Linked DNA regions of Mus musculus: region 2 is reported to be linked to region 1. The links are microRNA targets in miRTarBase. Many come from high-throughput screens and were not tested one by one. Region 1 holds a microRNA gene; the other region holds the end of a gene's coding sequence.
What was found. The annotated mature microRNA mmu-miR-96-5p reads UUUGGCACUAGCACAUUUUUGCU and lies in region 1 at 4,445-4,467, opposite strand. An mRNA with a match to its seed (bases 2 to 7 or 8) in the 3' UTR can be bound and repressed. Matches are read on the target gene's strand: a 7mer-m8 pairs with bases 2 to 8, a 7mer-A1 pairs with bases 2 to 7 and ends in A, and an 8mer does both.

Region 1 (7,117 bases):
ATAAATATTAAAAAAAAAAATAACTGAGGTCCTGGGGTGTCCTTAGAGAGAGAAAGACTTTAACTAAGGTCACACATACAGTCGTGCATCTGCAGAGTCACAAACATGTGTAGCTCCCAGGGCAGCTGCCTTGGTTACCTATAGAGACAGGAAATCAACCCTAGGGCCCAGACTTCCCAAACAGGCCCACCCCACCAAGGTCCTCCATCTAGGATAGTCACTGGCCCTAACTCCAGAGTTGAGTTGTAGGAACCTGCAGTCTAGACTGTCAGCACACTCTCACTGCGCCCCTCTGTGCTCAGGTGTCAGCAGCCTAGCCACAAAGCAGCGAGCTGGAGGGGCTAACACAGAGGCCGCAGCTCCAGATGACCTCAACACACTCCGTCCATATGGGAGCCTTCATTCCTTTACCCTTCTAGGGCCTGGGCAAGATTCCTAGATGTCTGAGTGGAGAGTATGCCATCTCCACCCTCACACCCCAGCCAGAAGCTCCAAAAGGGGATCGCATAGACCAGAAGACACTTCCTTGTGGCCTCAGAACCTACCTGAAGAACAGCCCTCAGGGGTTGAGGGCGGGAGAGGAAAAGCCATCTGTCTCTCCCTCACCAAGCTTAGGATTCCCACCATCCCTGTGAGGGCCACCCTGGAGCAAGGCTGGATCCCAAGTCCTTTTCACCGAGAAGAGGTCGACTTCATGACTTGTGACCTCAGGGGGGCGCAGGGAAACATTAAGGGTCACTTCCAGCTGCGCCCACCCTCTGCCACTGCCTGGTGGTCTGGAGACAGGAGTCCCCTCTCCTTCCTGGTGATCGGCAGGTTCCGGCACGGTGCAGACCTTCAGCAGCTCAGCACTTACACCATAGTTGGCAAGTCTAGAACCACCGGGTCCCATTACCTTACCGGTGTGAGTTCTACCATTGCCAAAAATGGTGGGAGGCCTCCAGCAGCCAGACCAGTAAGCCTATGCTGAAGAAGAAGCAGTTAGGGTGGTTTTAGGAGGGCGCTCTTCCCACAGTTAACACAAGGTCCAGACTATGGTCCTTCGGCCTGTATGGTCCTGTTCCAGTGTAAAACCTCCTCAAGCCCTGCCTGCCCTCCAGCCACCTCCCCCCCACCCCACGACCACCTCCCCCCCTCCCCACGACCCACAGTCCCTGTGTAGGGGCATTAGGCAGTGATGGAGCCATAGCCACTGCTCTCAAAGGCACTGTACCCCAGGAACCTGCCAGTGGGAGCTTGGGAATGGGTGCACTCTGGGTCAGGGAGTCCCCTGCTTGGTAACCAAGGAAGAGAGTGGCATGGGGCCAGCTTGCCATCTACCAAGGCCCCCAGGTGGCATCCTGTTTAATCCCTTCCTGACATTCCCCAGAGCCTAAAGTTCCTCAGCTGTCCCACCCCCCCACCGGGAGGGAGGTAAAAGGTCAATGCATAGATCCCACTTCCTTGTCAAGCCACAGGCAAACCACTGCCCGGCCTGTGGTCTCCTCCCTGAGGCTGGGGAGGAAGAACCCTAGGCTAAGACCTTCTCTGGAGAGTCTAGACAGCCATCACTGCAGTCTAGCAGGGCCAGCCAAGCGGAACACAGCTGCATTAGCACATCCACACAGCATTCTCCCAAGTGCAGAGATTTCCTTACCCATCCCTTCCAAAAAGACACACACCCCTGCAGCCTTCAAGGAACCCCAAAGATGGTACACTTCTTTGCCCCCAAACCACCCATGGATTCATTTCCATAAATCTAGAGGAACTGCTGGCTGGCAGGGCCAGTGATGGAAATGCCACCGGTCCCTCTGTCCTCCTGCAGGGCAGGGAGGATGAAGGACCCAAAGATGATGTTTTGGAAGGGCAGAGATGCAGACGAACCCTGGACACTCAAGCTGGTCACTGCCAGTGGCCTAAGCTTGGGTGCTGAGATGACTCCACTGCCCAGAGAAAAACTTGCTTTATAGCTGGGCCAGAATTGTGGGCCACATCTGTGATCCCAGTACTGAGTTCAGGGGCTGGGGTGATCTGCTTGGCAAGGAAGCTCCTTGAAACCTTGACCTAGAGTGTGTCCCCAGTGGGGACACAAGCAGGACCTTGGTTTCTTGGCCACATACCTCCCAAAGGCAGGCCACACATTTTTATCACATTATAAAGTGTTAAGGCAAGCCACTGGTGAGTTGAGTGGGTCACTCCCTCCACTCCAGTGTGAGCGGGGAGGGTCCTATCCTGTCAGCACCCCTAACTGCTCAATCTCGGGCCACACTAGCTAGGCTGGGAGCGAGCAGCCCCGCCTGCCTGCGATCAATGGAGCCAGATCGCATTTCCAAGAGCCAGAGGACTGCAGAGCTGGGGCAGGGACCCGGATAATGGCCTGGATTGAATAAGCAAATGCAGGGGTGGGGGAAGGGCGAAAGTCTGGAATAATCCACCTCACAGGGACTCTGGGGAGCGGCTGGCCCAGGCAACCCCAACACCAGGCAATGAGGCAAGGAGCCTACCCAGGAGGCAGCAACTCAGGCACCTAGGAGCCACCGAGCCCGAACAATATAAGAAGGTCCCCAGTGGATTAAACTGCACCAACTGCCCTGAGAGGGTAAGGGTAAATCCTTCCGCAGGATCAGACAGCCAGGAAGAAACTGGTCCTGCTTGACAGGGTGAGCCCTCCCCTCCTACCGCACCCTCACCAGCATGGTCCTCTGGAAGCTGATTTTCTGCGGAGTCCAACCAGCCTTGTGGCCTCTGCTCACCGGCAGTCACTACTATAGGTGAACTTTCACCCAGGTCGAGAACAGGCTAGATGAGGAGAACCAGAAAGCTATGGCCAGTGGTCATCCTTTGGGAATGCAGGCCCCAGAGGGGTGGAGCCCTGAGCCTGGAAAGAAGTATAGAACTGGGCCATACCAACACCTGCTAGTGAGGTCTCAGCAAAGCCTCCACCAAGGCCAGTGTGAGAGGCAGGACCACTAGGGGTCTGAGGACTGCTTTGGTTAGAGGGACCCAGCTCTGAGTGGCCCCCTGAGTGCTGGACAGGAGCAGAGTTGGGTTCACAGAGGCAAGACCCGAAACAGAGACCTCACCAGGGTGAGGCGGTGAGGTCTCTTCCTGTCCTTCCTTTTCCCGCAAGTGCTCAGATAGCCTTCTGCACAGGACATTAGTGCCATACCCCAGAGACTTATGGAAGCCCCCAGTTGGCAGTAGTAGGTCTAAATGTCCTCGCTATCCAACACAACTCTCAGGGCACCCAAGCAGGCGGGCGGCCCTGGATGCTCAGGCACGTTCCTGGTGAGCAGTCAACTGGATTGGTTGATCTCTAACTTCCAGACTCAACTGTACACATTCCCCTGGCCTGGCCCCAGCCCTCTTTAGCTTGGCCACCTAACTGTAACTGGACTGAGTAACTGGCTCTTGCAAGAAGTTCCCCTTCCCCAGGGAGAAGCAGTCTCATTAGGGGCTGGCCCAGTAACTTCAGATATGATGGCTACCAGATGGTCAGTGGACCAGCTTAGTCAGCTCAGCTCTCACTGCCTGCTAACCACCAGGGCTTCACCCAAGAGCCTGGCTGGTGGGTGGGCTCTTCTAAGCCCTATGGACCAGGTCCAGATCTAACTCATTTTGAAGGCCAGGGATATATGAAGGGTCAGAGCCAAGATTCACCCAGCCACAGGGGGCAGGGGTGTGTGAGCACTCTCCACAGAGCAAGGCCACTGGAGGTCAATACATTGTCGTGACTGAAGAGAGGTAGCGACCCTACTTCACTACTAATGGACCTCCAGCCTGTCCCTCCATCTGTGAGATGACTCTTTACAAACTGGTGCAGCTGTTCGAGATCAGAGCTTACATACACAATGTTACATAACACATATATGGGCAGCTTAGGGACATTAAGTCACAGGGACTCCAAGGATGCAGGAAACCAACACTAGTGGGTGGATGGAAAGGCCACAACTGAGCCTTCCAGAACATTCCCAGCCCTCCACACTAGTATCCCTCTCATCACTGACCTAAGGTAAGCCACTGATGGTAGGCTCTAGGGACAGCCACCCTCATAAAACACTCATGCTGAGCACAGGATATCCCATTGCTTGGAATTGCTTCCTTGGAATCCTGTAGCAGAAGGCTAGACCCCAAAGACGGCTCGCCTTAAGGAGGAGGAGCCCAACAGGGCATCACAGAAGCTGGCCCTACAGATGGCGACCCCCACCCCCACCGCAAGCATCTCCATCTGTTGGCCCAGCTCGGATTGCCCAGCTCCGACTCCACTCTGGCCTCAGGCAGTGAAAGGTGATCTGGCTGTTCACCAGGGTAGGGCTGTACCCTCCTCACCCAGCAGTAAGCCAGATGGGCCAGGGAGCCAGTGAGACACACAGACCCTGGGATGCCGGGGGAGGTGAACGTGGCCGCAGCAGCCCGCTTTTCCCATATTGGCACTACACATGATTGCTCACAGCGGAGAGACACAAGCAAAAATGTGCTAGTGCCAAAATCGGCCAAGCAGATGGTACTGGAACAGGCCCTCTGGGGAAGGAGCAGAGGAGGTCTTTGTACCCTGGCACCCCTGGAAACAGAGGTCTAGGCAGAAAGGGGTGAGGAGCTCCAAGGTGCTCGCGGATCTGTCTCTGCTCTGTTTATGGCCCTTCGGTAATTCACTGACTGAGACTGTTCACAGTGAATTCTACCAGTGCCATACACAGGACAGGAGTCACACTCTCCAGCCTGCAGACCCTGCAGAGGGGTCAGCTGCCTTCTCCTGGAGGTCCTACAACCTACTCCCCCCACCCCACCCCCACTGCTGTCATCCGCAGTTTAGCAACCCTCCTCACCAGCTCTTCACCAGCTCGTTGTTGTGCACTAGCCCAAATTGTCCTTCAAGAAGACAAGGACAAGTGAGGAGAAAGTCTGATTTCTTGGACTTGCAGAGGGCAGCAGAGTTTCCCATCACATCCCAATACCATCACCCAAACAAGCCACCTTCCTGCCAAGGTCAGCAAGCAGTTGCCAGATCCTCATAACCTAGGGCACTGGACCTCACCTACTCCCAAGTGGGCAGTGACAAGAACATCCAATGTGCTTCTCATGGCCTCTCGGCACAGAGGCCAGCAGTCCTGGCTTGCCCAGTGACACAAGCAGAGGCCCAGAAGGCAGGACTGCAAAGTGTCCCCGATGGGCACCTTTGTGGCTTGACCAGGGCCAGGATCAGGGCAGGGGGCTCCTTCAGACAAGGAGGCAGCTCGGAAGGAGCCAGGGTGAACTGTTTCTGGCAGGAGCCCTCGGAAGCAGCCTCTGGAAGGTTCTGAGAGTACTTTGGAGGACGGTAGAGGCTACAGAGCCAAGGGAGGGCTGGGGCGGTTGCGTCAGTGGTTGCTACAGCGGCTGCCACGAGAGAAGGCAGGATGGAGGCCCTTGCCTCTGGTACCAGGTGCCCTGGGGATGGAGGAAAGAGGGAGGGTAAGTCTCTCTGGAGCTGGTGCCCAGGGCATGAGAGCTGGAGACACTGTGGAAGAGGCAACACAGGCTCAGCCTACCCTTAGGCCGGCCTGGAATCCACAGGGAAAGGTAGACGGAAAAGGGAAATATACGGGAAGGGGTCAGATAGAGTTCTCCAGCTCAGAAACCTTATAAGCCTTTACTCCAGGCTAACCCCACTGTAAACCTGTTATCAGTCCTGGACTTGGTAACATACTTGTGGGGCTTTGACCGAAAACTCACTATTTGCTGACTCTGGAGCTCTAGCTCACCTCCCAAAAGGCCATTTCATCTTGGTAAGATGGACACTCCCTGGCCTGTGGCCTCAGTTTCCCCCACTATAAATCTCTGAACTTAGAGGAGTCAAGCGGGGGTGGACAGCTATAGTTACTGGTGTGTTCTATGTGGCTCAGAGTGTTTCTCAGAATCACTAAGGAGTCCCCTGAAATGGAGCTTTGTGGCCCACGAGGAAACCTACAGTTTAATATGAACCTGGGGAATGTGAGGCTGGGAAGGAGAAGCTATTTAGAGTTGTGCTTGGAAACAGCTTTCTCTAAAGATGCAGGATATTTTGGAAACAGTATTCTAAAATCTTTTTCCCCCCCCCATTTCAATGGAACAGAGGAGTAGCAATGGGGGAAGGGCCTTGGGAAGATTGAGACACACTCAGGGTACCAATGTCCTCCTGAGAACTCAGTCTGGAGCACCCAGGAAGGAATGAAGCACCATAAGAGAATAGCCCTGTCGGATCAAGTGCCTGGCATGCCCGCCCTTTTGCCTACATCTTCCTCTTCTGTAACTGGAGGGGATGGAGAGCAGGAAACTGCTTACAGAGCCAAACACCCCTTCAGCATCCAGTTCTAGTCCGCTGAATGAGGCTCCTCCCTGCGCTGCCTTGCCCCTCCTAATTCAAATGCGGCAGGAAGAGAATGCTGCGGTACCCAGGCAGGGCCACACCCATGGCCACAGCCAGAGTCCACCCAACACACAGCAGAGCAGGAATACCTAGACCTTAGTTGAAGCAGAACCTGTCCTGGGTCAGAGGAAAATAGGCTCTCCTGAAACGGGGACAGTGGAGTTCTGCAAAAACAACCCTGGTATTCTACAACGGGGAGCCATGACGGGGCTTTGGCAGGACAGTCTCTTATGCTCTCTGTGTAGGTCAAAACCCTGACCTTGAGATTAAAGGCTAAGAAATTCCTCTTCTGACTGTGGGAAAAGGTTGTGTCCCAGCCTGGTAGGTGTGAACAATTAGAGCATCAGAGTTGGTGTGTAAGGAGGACTGGCAGGGGCACAGGATGTCCTCCTGGGTGAGTGTGTATCCTACATCCTCTGCCAGGTCTCCCTCCCCTAGCCCTACTCCCCTTAGGCATGTCTTGTCTCTTTGAAGAATCATCCCTCCCTTGGCCAGGTATTGGGGTCGGGGGTCTTTCCCTGGGCTCTTGCTCTGTAGTCAGACCTATATGTGCCTCTTCCCCCTGCCCCCCCCCCCCAGCCTACCATTCTCAGTACCAGAGCTCCCTAGAGGTGAGTGGTTCGGGTGGAGTCTTTAGGGATCTTTTGCTAACATTCAGCAACTGTCACCATCAACCCCTACACATCGAATCTAGAGTCTCTGTTGCGAATCTTCCCACCAGCGATTGGCCCAGCACGGATCACTTATATCTCC
Region 2 (7,117 bases), not on the chromosome of region 1:
CTGGAGTGTAACAGAAGGAAGTCTCAGTAGGAGGATGTAGCTGGCTAGCTATTTCCAGGGAGAGACAGACAAAAACAAACAAACAAACAAACAAACAAACAAACAAAACCCTGCCCCTTTCCTCAGTGAATTCACTAAACAGGGGTCTCCCCTAGATCTTGGGAAAGAAAATCTTAGCTCTTCACAAGTTGTGAAGATTGGGTTTTATTTTTTGGTTTTTTGGTTTTTGTCACCTTGACACAATCTAGGGTCATCTGAGAAGGAGCCACAACTGAGAAAATGTCACCATCTGATTGGTCTATAGGCAAGTCTGTTGAGGCATTTTCTTGATTAATAACTGATGTGAGGGGGTTCAGATTACTGTGGTCAGTACCACTTCAGGGCAGGGGGTCTCATATAAAAAGTCAGACTGGAAAAGCCCTGGGTAGCCAGCCAATAAGCAGCACTCATCCGTGGCTTCCGCTTCAGTTCCTGCCTCCAGGTTCCTGCTTTGAGCTTCCGCCCTGATGTCCTTCCATAATGAACTGGGATGTCCAAGTGGAAGACTAATAAACCCTTTCTTCTGTGAGTCGTTTGGAACCTCCTTGGTTGACTTAAGAAGATCAAGAAGATCCAGTCTAAAAGTGGTAGGAACGCTTCTGGCTTTGGGCCCTGGATACTTTGGGCTGTGGCTCTAAGCATCCGTGCACACACACTCATTGACTCCCTTGTTCTTGACTTTGGATGTGGCACTCTGACATTAACTGTCATCTGCCAGGCTAACACTGTGAATAGCAGTGAATGATACTATCATGTGACCAGCAGCTTCAAGCTCCTGCCGCCATGTCTTCCCTACAGGGAGGACCACCTGTACCTGGGAGCTGAAATAAACTCTTTCTCCCCTCAGCTGCCTTCTGCCAAGGTGTTTTATCACAGCAGCAAAAATGAAATGAAAACACTTGGCCAACATTTATCCTCTGGTGAAGCCTGGATGGGCAAGATTGTCCTTGTGCACAGCCATCATTCTATGGGGACCTCAGACTTACCTGCTTCCCTCCTCTTAGGCCTTTGCCAACCAGACGTCATTTGTCATCTTATTGAAGTGTAACACGGTAGCCACTGATAATAGTTCAAATGAGAAACCCTCAAATGTACTTGTTCAACAAAAATTCATTGAATGGCTGTTACATTCCAGCATCTGAGGAGGCACTATGGCTAAAGTGATGGTGGTGGTGGTGGTGGTGGTGGTGGTGGTGGTGGTGGTGATGGTGGTGATGGTGATGGTGATAGTGATGGTGGTGGTGATGATGATGGTGGTGTTGGTGGTGGTGGTGGTGGTGATGGTGGTGGTGATGGTGGTGGTGGTGGTGGTGATGGTGGTGGTGGTGGTGGTGATGGTGGTGGTGATGGTGGTGGTGGTGGTGGTGGTGGTGATGGTGATGATGGTGGTGGTGATGGTGATGGTGATGGTGGTGGTGGTGATGATGATGATGGTAGCAGTGACAATAGCTAGCACGAACTGGGCACTGTCCACAGCCTAAGCTCTACTCTGTGCAATTAAATATACCACCCAAACTTAGGACATCTTCACCGTATCCCTCTGAGGGCAGGTCTCATGATTACTTCTGTACTATGGAGGGCACAGAAAGATGAAGTGGTTTCCCTTGAGTCACACAGTAAATAAATGGCAGAGACCAGACAGCAACCTAGAGCCAGACTTTCGATCATAACAGTTCCAGGAGAGGCAAGACTCAAATTCAGCAGATGTTCTCATGGAAGCCCTGGCATGTCTTGTGGGTGCCTTGGGAGGCAGGCTGCAGGATTGCAGGCCAGACAGCCCCTCAGTGTGACTGAGCTCCCTTGGAACATGCACATGTGAGCACACAGTCACTGGCTGCAGCTGGACTTGAGCTCTGACCATGGCGATTGTTCCTGAGGCTTGGCTCTGGCCAACCTGTTCTGCAGTCTTCAGGACACTGCTGCCTGTGAGCTTTCTCTCTGAGTGCAGGAAGGCTCTTCTTCCACATGTGAGTTTTTCCGACCAGGAAAGGCATTCTGGCCTAGAGAGATCCTTCCCCAGAGAGAGGTTTTCCTGCAGAGGGGGATAATCCAGGAAGGTGGGTCTGTTCTTAGACAATATCCTCCTCATTTATAGGAAGTGAGGTCCTATTGGGCTCCCTGGGCTCTCATGCCATGTGTTTGTGACTAGCAGGTGAGCAGGTAGGAACACACAAACGGAGGAAGTGTGAGCTGCAAGAAAATACAGGATGTAGCCAGTGTTAGTTCCACAGCGTGAGGCCGGCCCTGAGTCTGGGGACAAGACCAGGAAGTGACTCCTGCATGCCTCAGGATCTCAGCTTTCTGGAACAACACACAGAAGTGGGTTCGGGGCCAGTCCTGTGTACGTGGCACTGTGAGCATCATTTCCTGGCTAGAAAGAGGGGCTTCCTTGGTCAGCAGGAAGGAGAAGGTTGACTCACAGGTGAGGGTGATTTGTAAACTGTAGGTTCAGACCGTGTGACAGCCACTGTTGCTCAGGGTGTCAGCCCAGCAAACACAACAAACATCAAGGCAGGTGATGAAATCACAAGGGCACTGGAATGCTGATGTTGGTGTGCCGTGTGCCGACTAAGGATGTTGGGGAAGGATGTGGAACCAAGCCCAGCCTCCTAGCACATGGCAGCACCTCCTGGGAGGACACAAGCTGTCCCGATCTCTCAGATCCTTGAGAGACTTTGCCTGCTCCATGTGAAGGCCCCAGACGGGGCAAGCTCTTTTATCAGCCTGGAAACACCTGTTTCATTCATTCTTGTACTCGATCAGCCAGTGTTTACTGGACACCCATTGTGCACTGGGTCCTGCTGTAAAAGGAGTGATTACAACTGCAGTAAACACGATAAAAGAGATGTGCACGGCGCTATAAGGGACTGTGATCGGGATATATAAGATAGAGAAGCAGCTATATAAGGGCCCATGATCGAGATAAATCAGCCGACCTGGTAAAATTAAGGAAGTGCTGATAATTATGTTGGGATCGAAAGAACGAACAGACTTTAACTAAGGAAAGGAACAGTTGTAGCTCAGACATGAGGAACAGGCTGTACAGACTGCGGCATGGAGCAGAGTCTATGTGTCTGTCAGATCTGGCCACGGAGTAAGTTGTGCTGAAGCTCAGAATCTTCAAGCCACAAGCGTGCTTCTTGTCCTCAGTGCTGAGTCAGAACCCTGGCTAAACTCAGCCAGCTGCCTGTAACTACCCGGACCAGACTGTGAGTGGCCTTAGCAGGTCCTTGAGTACCTAGCCTGTGGTCCTAAACTCTCTGGCAAGTTACCCTGGAGCTTACCTCACGTGGCAGAGGAGACAGCCTCTCTGTTACCCCTGCAGCAGTCTCATTTTACTGACCAAAACAAGGCACTTGGCTAAACCCAAAGCAGGTGTGAGCAGACACAGTTCATGGCCCACGGTTAGAGGGAGGCGTGTGTCAATGGATGGCGGCCGTGGCTGCAGAAGTCTACCCCAGAGTGTTCAAGGGCTGAAATAAACACGGAGATAAGAGAATGCAGCCCGAGAAGAACAGAGGCTGGCATGTGCAGGGCTACAGAGAACAGCGCGAGGATCTGGCCTTATCCTAAAAGTGGGAGACTTTCCAAAATAAAAGTCTACTGCAGAGCTGGGGTGTGGCCGAGTTAGTAGTATGCTTGCCTAGTGGGCATGTAGCCATGGTGTCAATCCCAGCATCCCATAATACCAAGTGTGACAACACATGCCCATAGCCCCACCACTTAGGAGGTTGAGAATCAAACATTGAAATCATCCTTGGCTACCTACTGACTTTGAGGCCAGCCTGGACTACATGAGATTTTGGGGTTTGAGAGTGTACTGGCTGATTTTGTGTGTCAACTTGACACAGGTTGGAGTTATCACAGAGAAAGGAGCTTCAGTTGGGGAAGTGCCTCCATGAGATCCAGTTGTGGGGCATTTTCTCAGTTGGTGATCAAGGTGGGAGGGCTCCTTGTGGGTGGTACTATCCCTGGGCTGGTAGTCTTGGGTTCTACAAGAAAGCAAGTTGAGCAAGCCAGGGGAAGCAAGCCAGTAAGTAACATCCCTCCATGGCCTCTGTATCAGCTCCTGCTTCCTACCCTGTGAGTTTCAGTCTTGACTTCCTTTAGTGATGAGCAAGCAAAGTGATTGTGTAAGCTGAATAAACCCTTTCCTCCCTGTCTTAGTCAGGGTTTCTCTTCCTGCACAAACATCACGACCAAGAAACAAGTTGGGGAGGAAAGGGTTTATTCAGCTTACACTTCCATACTGCTCTTCATCACCAAAGGATGCAGGACTGGAACTCAAGCAGGTCAGGAAGCAGGAGCTGATGCAGAGGCCATGGAGGGATGTTCAATACTGGGTCACCTATCTAACCAGGCAGATGGGGCAGTTTCTCTTTAGTTCTTAAATCATGGTAAGACACTCCATTTTCACTTTTTAAGAAATCTCATGTTATGCATGTGTCTTGGGGTGAAGACTGGGGGAGTTTTTTTAGAAGAGCCTGCTAGATCGTCAAGGAAAGATGGAGAGTGAACACAGCAGTTTGGCACTGGTGTGCACCAGAAACGTGGCTGGCTCCTGAGATAGCTTCCAGGCAGGTTTATAAGCAATCCTGCCCTGAGCCACCCGCACATTGGATGCCCCTTCTCCCCAGCTTCCGTGGCCCCCAAACCCTAACTAAAGGAGGAACCTCTGGTACAGGAGTTCTCCAGACCTGACTCTTTCCTTGGACTCTGAATCCCCAAGCGTCTTCTTAAATACTTTGAGCACCCTGACCAGAAGGTACCGCCCACCTCAGCTGATAAGAAGGCAACAGAGTTGAAAGCCCCAAGCCAGCATGGAGGGTGGCAAGAGACTTGAATGGCAGGACCTCCTCGAGGGAATGGAATGGGGACTTGGAGGCTCCTGGGTGATGGGGTAGGGGGTGGGGGTGGGGATCATAAGATCAAGGCAGAGCTTTTACATGTATGCAATCATCAAAGAACTTTAAAAGGATAGTCTAGGGTTTTTGTTTTTGTTTTGTTTTAATAAAATAGTTCTGAAAGGCAGGTTTGCCATTTAATTCCCACTTTTCCTTCTTCCTGTTCCCTCCTAAGCTGGGGATATCCAAATCCCATTGCTTACCATTCCGAAGACTTCCCCCAAATCACACTCAGGCAGTACTGCACATTTTTATTTACAGAAAACACAAATAAAGCATTTCAATTTTCACTCTGCAAACTGATCCACATTTTTTTTGTCTTTTTTTTTTTTTTTTGGCACAAAGAAATAGCACAGAGGGACCCCAAGATCAATCAGAAACTTCTAAGATTCATTAGCCATTACTGGTCTAGGGGTAGCCACAAGACTCAGACAGACAAGCTCACCACAAACCAAATAGAAAGTAGTCCCAATTCACCTCACAGTAAAACCCTGCTCACCACCAGGCAAGGGTGTGCAGGAGGGACGGGTGCCCTACTCCAGGGGAGGGAGCAGGAAGGGGGCGGGGATGGACCCTTTCCTTAAACTGGGGAGGTACGGCCCCTTTGTGTCCATCCTCTTACCTTGAGAAGACAATTGCAAAACTACCAGTTGTGTGCTGGGGTGCCTCTCATCGTGTGCCTGTGTGCACGTGTGAATGAATGTGCGATTGGGTGCCTGTAAACATCGTCCCCATCCTCACAGAGACCCAACATCCTTGTGTCTAAATGGGGTGGGGGGAGTAACCCCACATCATACGCCCTCTGCCCAGTGTTCCCCTCCAGAGACATAGTGCAAATTTCAGGGGCAAAAAGAGGCAGGAGAAAAGGAAGTGGGCAAGGTCAAGAAGGACACACAGATGGTGTGGGAGAGGCGAAGGAAAGGGGAGAGTGGGCAGGGGCTGGAATGGATACACAGACAGGGTGGGAGAGGGAGGAGGGAGATAAGGCAACAGTTAAAGACGGCCCATAGTAGGTCCGCGTCAGCAAAACCAGAGCCACCTGCCTCCCACCCCCACCACACCCAGGTCACAAAAAAGGGCGGAAGTCACGCTCCTCCACTAGGCTGATGGCCGGATTCTTCAGTTCCTCCTCTGAGTTGGCCATCTTGTAGCCCAGCTGAGCCAACACCTGCTGGCAGGCATTCTGGGCAAAGGCCACGATGTCATAGGAGAGGCGGAAGCGCCACTTCTCAGCTGTGGCTGCAGAGTTGCGCACTGTGCTGTATTTGTGCTTGCCCAAAGTGGGGTCGCCCCTCGTATTGTTCTGGATCCAGTGTGCCACGTGACTGTCCAGGGGGATACCCAGGAATTCGTAGATCTCTTCTGTCTTCTTCATTGGATTTCTGGCCAGGTCCTCATAACGTACCAGCATGTACTTGCCCTTGAGCCAGGAGGGCCGCATGAGGCCAGTAGACACAGAGCTAGAGAAATCCTCACACACAGTGGTCAGCTGTGTCACATCCAGGTTGTAGGGCTTCCTCCCTGTGCCGTACCAAAGCCGCCAGAGCCGGTAGGTGTCCCGGAAGGTCTCACTGCGAGAAGCCAAGATGCCACGAGGGTCTCGCACCAGCTGGATGACCTTGAGGTTCAGCCTGGGGTCTTCCACTAGAGCCCGCAAGTCATTCACCTCGGGCACCCGCACAGTCTTGATGGCCACATGACTGCGCTCACGACAAGCCTCGGCTGCCAAGGTCAGGTTCAGCAAGCCACACATGCGCACACAGTCCCCCTCCTCCAGGATCAGGTCAGAGGACCCTGGAGGGTCACACACTGGACGGGAGCAAAGGACCCTGCTGGCCCCTCTGCGGAAGACCCTGTTGGTGGTGTGGTTGACTGGAGGTGGCTTGATGTAGTTCTCCAGAAAGTAGAGATCACAATCATAAAGGCTCCTCAGCAGGTCCCGGCTGGCACCTAGCATGACCCTGCGATCTGCGGGGCTCTTGCCCTGGGTGAACCGGGGGATGAGCGTGTTTTGGACGTGATAGAGCGGCTCGAACAGGTAGAAGACATCCATGTGCTGGTTGAAGAGCTGGCCCACAAAGGAAGAGCCACTGCGTGTGGTGGCCAGGATCAGGACGTGGGTCTTCCTGGAGAGGTTGTAGGAGAAGGTAGGGCCCTCCTCACACAGCCGCTCT

Region 2: miRTarBase lists Chst1 as a target of mmu-miR-96-5p. Seed matches in the 3' UTR shown: 8mer at 5,277-5,284.

What each region holds. Positions count from the first base shown.
Region 1 is chr6:30,165,062-30,172,178 of GRCm38, forward strand. It overlaps Mir96 (microRNA 96), which reads right to left and starts at 4,490; the gene lies at 4,385-4,490. All of the region lies in intron 1 of Mirc35hg (microRNA cluster 35, host gene), which reads right to left. It overlaps Mir182 (microRNA 182), which reads right to left and starts at 931; the gene lies at 857-931. Mir183 (microRNA 183) reads right to left here and starts at 4,676; the gene lies at 4,607-4,676.
Region 2 is chr2:92,613,313-92,620,429 of GRCm38, reverse strand. It overlaps Chst1 (carbohydrate sulfotransferase 1), which reads right to left. Exons shown (of 3, transcript NM_023850.2): 3 at 5,178-7,117. The coding sequence ends at 6,010. Among named protein-coding and RNA genes, the nearest start is that of Chst1, 17 kb to the right of the region's middle.